Drosophila melanogaster: one gene and its partner. The protein of the gene in region 1 interacts with the protein of each later gene in a pairwise test. Each region holds a gene or a part of one and is shown on either strand. Other genes may lie near its edges. The genes, in order: CG15475 and robo2.

The links.
Region 2: the proteins of CG15475 (region 1) and robo2 interact in a two-hybrid assay, tested with the Drosophila melanogaster proteins (one large-scale study listed by BioGRID).

Annotation. Positions count from the first base shown.
Region 1 is NT_033779.5:20,612,552-20,616,319, forward strand, and holds CG15475 (uncharacterized protein), read left to right. Parts: upstream 1-1,970; 5' UTR 1,971-2,129; coding exon 2,130-2,831; 3' UTR 2,832-3,008; downstream 3,009-3,768.
Region 2 is NT_033779.5:1,417,244-1,422,408, forward strand, and holds the start of robo2 (roundabout 2), read right to left. Parts: upstream 3,211-5,165; 5' UTR 2,923-3,210; coding exon 2,661-2,922; intron 1-2,660.

The DNA of each region.
Region 1 (3,768 bases):
ATATTGCAAAAGAGGCAAGGTATGCCAATTTAATAATAGATTCCCAGACACAATTTCTTTATGTGTACCACATGCAGCAGCTAAGTAATTTTTTATAGTGTTTAAGTCCTTGCTGTAGCAGAAAAGATCACGGAAAAGAGGACAACAAAGGACCTGAATGAACGAGGAGAATGCCAGTGAAAAGGGGTCCCCCGCCAGAACACATTCCTTTGCAAATGTCAAGTAAATTGTTGTTTGCTCGACAATCGGCAACAGGCGGCCCAAGAACAAGAACTCCTTCAGGACAATTCCCTTCTTGAGCTTTGTCTTGGTTCTTACGCCCTAAGTCAGTTAGGAAAAGTTAAGGCATTAGTAGGGAAATGGGGGTACGATACCGTGGAAGAGAAAGGGCAACTCGTTAGGCTCGCTTAAAGTGGATATTACTTTTTTAGGAAACTTTAATGGCTGTGCAATGAAAGGGCTTTAAAGTTAAGTATATTTCACAAATAATTTTATGGTTTTATCTTAATTGAAAGTAGTTTGTTAATGAACATCGTAAATTCAGTATAGTAAAACTGGGAGCAAAAGAGTTTTCTTTTATTAGGATTTAGTAGATGCATACCCTTTGGGTAACAATTATTCAACAGAGCTTCACAAGCATATCCTTTCGAAAATCCCTTTAACAAGTGAGCATTTTGTTCGGTTCGGAACCATTTTCAGTAACTGTCAGGGAGACTAACCCGTACATTTTTTGCATTATAAGTGGCCATTTTTATACCTTTATCATGTTCTACGTATCTCTGATAAATTGTCTGCCCGTCCACTCAGCTTTAATTTGCCTGTCATTTCGCATATCCTGCGAGGGCTAAGCTGACATTTGGACCCGTCAACTGCCACTCCCACCTTTCTCCCGCCTTTCTCACAGGCTTACGGCTGAGCTGCGCACATTTTGTGAAATGTAAGCGCAAAAAAGGGGAAAAACTGGCACAGGTCGCAATCTGGGGGCAGCAAAAAAGGAGGCTGGAATGAAACTAATTACGTGGACGACTTTACACGCAGATAAGGCTTTAATCACCGAAATGAAATGAAATTTCTTTTAAGGGATAACTGAAGGGAGAATTTGCCTTCAGGCCGACACTACGTCGTTAGGCAAAAGTCTGCAGAGCAAAGTGTGAAAGCCATGAACGCGACCACGAAGCGGGTTAATTACGTACAACAAACAATAAATTACTTGGTCCAGAAGATACAAAAAGAGGGCGAAGACGAACAAAAAATGAAATAAACTGCAGGAAAATAAGAAAGAAATTAGTTAAAAGAGACCCTAATCAGCTTAGTGGACTTTTTGCTTTGCTCGGAAAAGATGATTAAATTTCTGTGTCAAAATCAAAGGAATATTGCGTATACGCCGTGTGCGGCTGGACTTTCGGCTATGTCCTTGTTTTGATGGTCTTCGTTTCGCTCCTTTTCAGCTGTCACTCCTGTAAGCTTCTTTTTCCACTTCTTTTTTTCTTTGCGCTCATTTTCCCTGACTCCTTCACTTTATACGCTGCCTTTGTTTTTGCAAGCTCACACAAAAACCAAACATACCCAGCAAGCCAGAAAAAAGGCGAAGGAATTTTTTAATTATAAAATGTGTTTATCCGGAATTAATTGTTTTTGTTGTTCTTTCCATTTTAGCAGCTGTCCTGAAAAAGTAATCCAGCAAAAATAAAGTCTTTTTATCTCTGCATTTCTCTTTGGTAAATTACTCGCATTTTAAGCCATGACTTTTTGTAGTGCACGAAAAAGGATTCCTAACCCTTTCTAGAAACACTTGTCGGGTTATTTTCCCCAGAATTCCACTTAATTCTAATATTGTATATTTTAAACTCTAGTTTTGGAATCTGATAAATAATTTACTGATCGTATGGCAAAAACAGCTTTACACACGAGTCTAACGCAAATTGGTTTAGCTCAAATCAATATCCCAACAGCTTTACTTATAATTCATAATATATTTATAGTTTTGGCACCACATCGATTTTTTTCATACAACCCTTGAATTTGCCATCAAGTGGTCTAATTGGCCCTGACTCATTTCTACATTTCTACAATAAGCTCAAAAACTCATTTTATTATTCGTTGCAGTTCATCGAGGTCTCAAAAACTAAATGGCTCACAATTCAACACTGCAGCGCAAAACGAAGCTAACCCGCTTGGAGAATCCTTTGGTGGCCCCAACGTATCAACAGCAGGGAAACGGCTGTGGACTGGCCAAGGAGAAAGTTCCGAAAATGAATGCCAAACGGTTCACCAGACCATCCAAGACCCAGGCGGCAGAGCCAGCACCCAAGGATACCATTCACGATAATGCGAAAATATGCAACCACTTTGATCTATGCCGGGCTTCCAAGAATCCGATCAGAGCTGCTGGAGGAGGAAATACTCAAGTGGTTTCAAAATACCAGAGCGCGGTTAGTGTGAGCAACCAACCTGTTCGATCAACAGTCCCCAGAGCCACTCATCCAAAACTGGCTCCCAAGGAGGTCAGGGAAGCAAGGGAACTCATCTTCAAGGATCTTAAAGAGGCGCGAGCTGCCAAGGAACCAAAGGATTTTAGGCATGTTAAAGAGACCAAAGACCAGCAGGATCCCAAGGAACCCAAGGAGCCCAAGGTGCCCAAGGAACCCAAGGATCTGAAGGCAAGTGGAGCCCGCCAGAACATCAATCGCACCAAGAACTACTTCGACAAGTACCTGAAGTTCGCCTTTGATCTGAGCACTCCCGATGGTATCCAGAAACTGGAGGACCACTTTTTTCCGAACCAGGACCCCACTGCCCCTGGCGTCTCAAACTCTAACAGGGAAAAGTAAATATTTTCGGATTTTCCGAATGCAAAAACTATTGTGATCTTGAAGGATTCATGCCCAAATTTGAAGTACTTTTATTAGTTAACATTAAATTGCAGCGGTTGAATTATTTGAAATTCTTGTGATAACCAAATGATACATTGTTAAATAAATAACTCGGTCGATTTCTCTTTATACTTTAAATTTGCATACGAATTTTTCGATCTAAATTGACAATGAACATTTAATCGTTTCATACAAATCTGGTGCAGTGACGTTTGTCCCTCAGTTTAAATTGTTTAATATAAACAATTTATGTTTTTTCCCTAAGGGAATTCAAACCCATGAGTGTAATGAGCGTTTATAACACTTTTGTGAGTGCTTGGCTGAAATTAGAAAAAACGCTGCACAAAGGACCATTTAAATAGTGGGTAATGTTCTACAGGGATAAAATAAAATTTATTGTGTGGTCCAAATGCCGCACTCTCTCTCTCTCTGTCTTTTTTCCCTATGCAAATGTATTGCTCTTTGTTCAACACAAACTCACGCACACATCCATCTGCGCACCCACACTTTCGCACACTTACCAACACACTCACAACGCCCATTCAGCAGAGCAACAAAAGCTGCGCACTGGGCATTGTAAATCATAATCAAAACAATAGAACAAATGAAGCTAATGTGCCGCATGCAAAACAACAATCGGCTGAATGAGTGGCAGAAAGGACGAACGGGTGGCGGGTGGTGGGTGGTCAGGATATGTGATCCTGGTCGTGACAAACCATTAAAGCTGGCGAATTAAATTTCAGAATCTCTTCATTAGGGGGAAAGTATTCCTAATTAGAAGTATAACATATTTCAACTGGCTTCCTTCAGAATTAAAGGAATGTAAATATGTCGATTTAACACATGAAAAACTGAAAAAGTGAATACCGACAATCCGCGGTGAGTGTATTCATAG
Region 2 (5,165 bases), about 19 Mb from region 1:
ATAAAACCCACGGCTATATCAAGTACGGCCAGCACCGAGATATACCCACATATACACACTGTTCACTGGACTGGACTGGCTGACAGGCTGGGTCTCCAGATCTCCAGGAAGCAAGAAATAACAAAAATCTTTGCGTAGGCAAAACTTGGCTCCGACTACCCAGCTGACCATGTCCAAGTCGCCTTTCAGCCATTCAAACTTCCAGACTTCCAGACCGATGTCTCTCTGGGCTCTGCGTTCTGGGTTCTGGCCGTCGTCGTAAGCCTGTTGTTTTAAATAATTAATTATTGTTTGGCTGGCAAATAGTCGACTGGAGATCGAATGCTCTTAGGAAAGGCGTACTGAAGCCACGGCTAGTTGCAATTAGAAGTAAATACTTTTCCCCAAGGAGTGGCTATGTGTTTTCTAAGGAATTCGATCCAAATTGATTTTTTTATTAGAAGTAAAACTACATATTACTGAAAACCTATCACTCCCGTCCTAGTCCGTATTTTCGAATATTCCTAGAAGTACGTCGCTATCCGCTAGACCTTTCGCCAGTCGACTTGCAACACCTCCACCCACATTGGCCCGACTTTCAATCACATTCCTGCCCCAAACTGTGTGCCAACGTATCGGTGCTAGCTATGGCATGGATACTATCCCATAAGACCCCTCATTATCTAGCCTGCAGCTGGGAGCAAATGGGAGATCTCGTTGAGTGCCGGGCGATTGGTAGGGCAATCATGTGATTGAACAAATAACATGCTACGGAGCTGCCACAGCACTTGACTTCATTTCTTTCGCCCGGGAAAGTAGGAAAACTAAGCCAGAGACCGCTACTTAGCCCAATTTTCGCATAATGCACATGAGAAAATTGCACAAGAGCCGAAAGGCTTTTGCCAGGCGGGCACCCAAAAAAAAAAAACACAAAAACACAAAAAATGCCAACATAAACGGCCAAGACAAAGGAAAGGATAGACTGCCACCCCCGGAGTCAAAACGAAAAAAAAAAAAAAAAAAACAGAAAGAAGTGCAGTCAGTCCAGTTAGCTGGAAAAACGCTCCCCAGAGTGGCATTAGAAGGTTGCCAAGGCTGTCAACCCTGCAACTTTGTGTTGAGGGCGATAATTTTTATGACCCCGACAGATTCTCAAGCCGACTGCGATTGACCCACCACCCAAAAGCTGGGCTGCTAACTGGATCTCGCTGGTCACACACCACCAGAAGTGAGGAACAAAATCCTGTCGTGTGCCGGTGCAGATAATTTTATACAATTTATTATATCAAACGGGCGACGTCGCGTGCAACACTTGCCACGTCACATCGGCCATTTCGGGATGGGGACACTGAGATACAGATACTTGGTGCTGCAACACACAGCCTCAGGTTGCGTGTTCAAGTGTTTACTGAAATCCGAATTCAAAAATCCCAATCCCAATCCGAATCCGAGTTGCGTGTGTCCATGGACGATATCAGTGGACTGGGCGTCGTTGGTTTGGCATTAAAAAGCGTTTAATAAGCATTAGATTACAACATTCTCAGCGTTGCAAGGGGTGTGACGACTTAAGCTCATTTAGATATATGTTTTATCGGCGGAGGTATAGAGCCATGAAATCGCCAAAGGGTCTAATTTAAAAGCGTTGCTTAACTCCCATTCCTTAAACCGCCAACCTCAAACCATTTCGCTTTAGTTTTCTTTTTGAACTTGCCATCTCGACCACAAAAGCCACAAACTCGATTCTTTGTTTGATTTTCCTGTAATCAGTTGCGAGATTGGAGCGGGAAACTACACTCGGTTGATTAGTCTTTCGAACTCATTACTCATTTATCTAAAGTTCGGTTTTGGTTTTGGTTAGTGATCTTTCCCGAGATCCTCCCTAAGGGGTTTACAATTTCTGTGTTTCGATTTACCCTCATCCAACTGAGTTTCCACATATGCATTTTTTTTTCACTTTTCTCGGGTTCGATGTGTAATACGATCTGTGTATTCTTTGGAAGTTGTATTTAGTTTTCCCAAATGTGATCCCTAAGTGGGTTCAGTGGGTTAGCATTTGTTTTTTGGTGTTCGTTATGTGGTGATAAGGAATAATGAGGAATTAGCAGCATTGTTCTTAAAAGTATCCATACTAATAGATACTTCTTAACCTTCCCTAACCTGCAGAGAACTTCTGAGAGATCTCTGGAATTACGATACCGATTGCAATGCCCTGCCAAAGCCCAAACATCCAGCTATGCCCATCCAAAAGTCGCCCCATTATGTGCATCTCTAATGAGAATCGGGAGAGAGAGGCATGAATAATGGGTCTATGGGCAGAGTCGATGTCGCGTTGTCTATAAAGCGGCCTTAAAATCCATTAGCGAACGTTGCAGGCATAAATAAACCGCAGTGCCTTAATTTCACTTTGTTGTTCGGTCGGGCCGCGTGTGTTGCAACCAAAAATAGCCAAAAGACGGAGTCGACCAACAAAAAAACGTAAATGGAAACAAATGACGCTAATAAATAAATGGGGAGTGCAGCGACATGAGGAGGCAACTCATATGCGGCCGCGAAGGATTTTCCCTGGCTCTGGGAGGAAATAGTTTGTCATAATGCCCTTCAAACTAAAACAGAGATCCCACAATGCAACCCTGCGAATGCAACTCTGGAGATGGACGCATCTTGCATCTGTTGACACTTACCCTTGAGCGCTCCGACTTGAGTTAATCCGTTTAATCCCGCGAGGAGCAGCAGCAGTGGGAATACTGCGCGTCGACTCCGATCGACTGGCATTATTTTTAGCCGCTCCCCATGAAAATCTCGATTGTTTCTGTGTCGGCGTTTGATCTCGCTGGCAGTTTTATTTTTGATTTTGCTTTTGATTTTAATTTGAATTTCGCTTTCGTTGGTTAAACACTGAGGTTGCAACCGCAGCGGCATTCCACGCATCTCGCACAAATGCATTTTGTCAAGTATTCTCGTTTCGCCTCCTTAATTGCACACCATTTAAAATAGATTTGCACTCATTTCTCGATACGCGCAATCTTTCGGATCTTCTGTTTTGGCACACACAGTATTTCTGTTCCTCCGAGTTAGTTATTCGCTAGCATCTGAATCCATGGCGGCGCCACTAAGTCCGTTTCCCGGAACGACGACGCGCGTAACCCGACGAATCGAACGGATACGGATATATGGACTGTATCTGCATCCGCAGCACATGCGAACCGGCTGACAATCGAAATGCGACTGAGGAACGAATTCTCGTTTCGCCTCGGAGCCGCCACCCGAAGTCCACTTCGGCTACTGCTTCGTGTCTGTGTATCCGAGTACCATCTAGTATCTGTATCGCTTCGTGCGCTGTTCCGCGTTCCAGTTCGTCCCGCTTGTTGCATGCTGTGGAACGCGTTGGAACTTTGTTTACTTTTACTGCAAGACGGTTTGTTTTGTTCCGTCTTCACTCGTTTCGATCCACGTGCCCTAGGTTTATCGTCGAGTCGTGCAACATTTCGGGTGGTGGTGCATCATCATGTTGCTATTGAGTGGATGTGAATTGTTGGAATATGTATCTGACTTCCAGGACTAGATGGGGATTTCTTTGCAGCACAACACATAGTCATGTATTTATTGGCTTTTTTTATGAATAATCTGCATCATTTGCTAATACAAAAAAATCTACATTCAAACGGACTTTAACACCATGCCACATCCATTTCCAAGTCCAACTTGTTTATCTCCAGCTCTTTTCCATTTTTATTCGATCATTCAAGCTCTTTTTCACGTTGTCAAGCCAACAAATTGCCAACCTTTGTGCCGCTCAGCCTCAATAGTTTCCATCCGAATCCGAAAACATTTCGAGCTCGGATAATCCCTACTTGTTGCGCTTTATTGCCCTCCAGCTCCACCGTGTCCGCTCAACCCTTCGCCGGCGCAGAGAGTCGAAAGAGCCCCTCCAAAGGGGCGACCATTTCATATCTAATCTGCTCGAGTGCCCCACTCACTCTCCAGCTGTTAGCTCATCTATTTCCAAACTGCAATAAAGCCAGACACAGTTCTAGACGATCCGTTTCACAATGCGATGAATAGAAATCAAAGTGGAGACCCGTTCTTGGACACTGTCCCAATATCTAGACGCCTCTGCGCGCTAATGAATTTCGAAATCAATTGAATGGCCAGCTAGACGATATTGTATTAATTTATCAAAGTGCATATCCGAAAGGGCTTTCCTCTATAAATCGCTGCCTAATTTCCCAGCGTTTGTTAAATAATCAATAACTTTTCCTCCAGGTAGAGTTCTTCGGACGAGTGTGAAGTCAGTTCATTAATGCCGGTGCTCAGAAAATACAGATACAGATACATTCGACGGGCAGAGAAGTGTAAAATAAAGGTGTGTATCTTTCCTATAAAGGAACTATGCGTGCATTTAGGAGCGGGCAGGTGTGGATTCCCTTTCCCCCTCCACTTCCCCTTTTCAGAGTGCAACACAATGTGCATTGTCTCTGCGAGAAAGAAAGGTCAAAGTGCGTACGGCGTATGTGAGTTTGTTGCCTTCTCAAGTCCCTCGTTTCTTCGATTCTCCGATCCCGACTCTCGAATCCCGATTCCCACTGCCGCTCACCTTTTATAGAGGCGAAGAATCCAGGTAGAGGAAAGAGAGAATTCGTGGCAGGTAAACCATATTTCAAATGCTGATAATTGGCCAATTTACAGCCAGGGCGAGTTGCTCTGCTTGAAAGGCGAGATATCTGAGCCCGGTTGCCACGCTTCATTAGCACTCAAGTGAAGTTGGGCAACGCTGCAAGTATATACGATAATATATAATATATAGATACCTTATGTCCTTTACCTTACCAAAGTAAATCCAATGTGCTAACTATCCGATGGATTCAAGCATGGATTTTTGATCTATGCCCGCAACACCCAAAATATTTACTCCTTAAGCTGGCCCGATTAAACCTGCCAACCCATGACCTTACCAAAACAGAGGGCCAAGAAGTTTGGCAACACTGGACTGCACTCTGAGTTATCTAGGCTGAAATGTTGACACTGCCTTTGTCATGTTTGGGCCTCTCGCCCTCTCTTTCCAACCGGCTCGTCCCTCTCTGTCACACAGTCTACTGACTGACTGTTTGTCTGTCATGTCGGTTGGTTTAAGCCTTGTTAATGGCATGTAAGTTGCGTCTCAATTGCGGATTTGCGAGCTTCCAAAC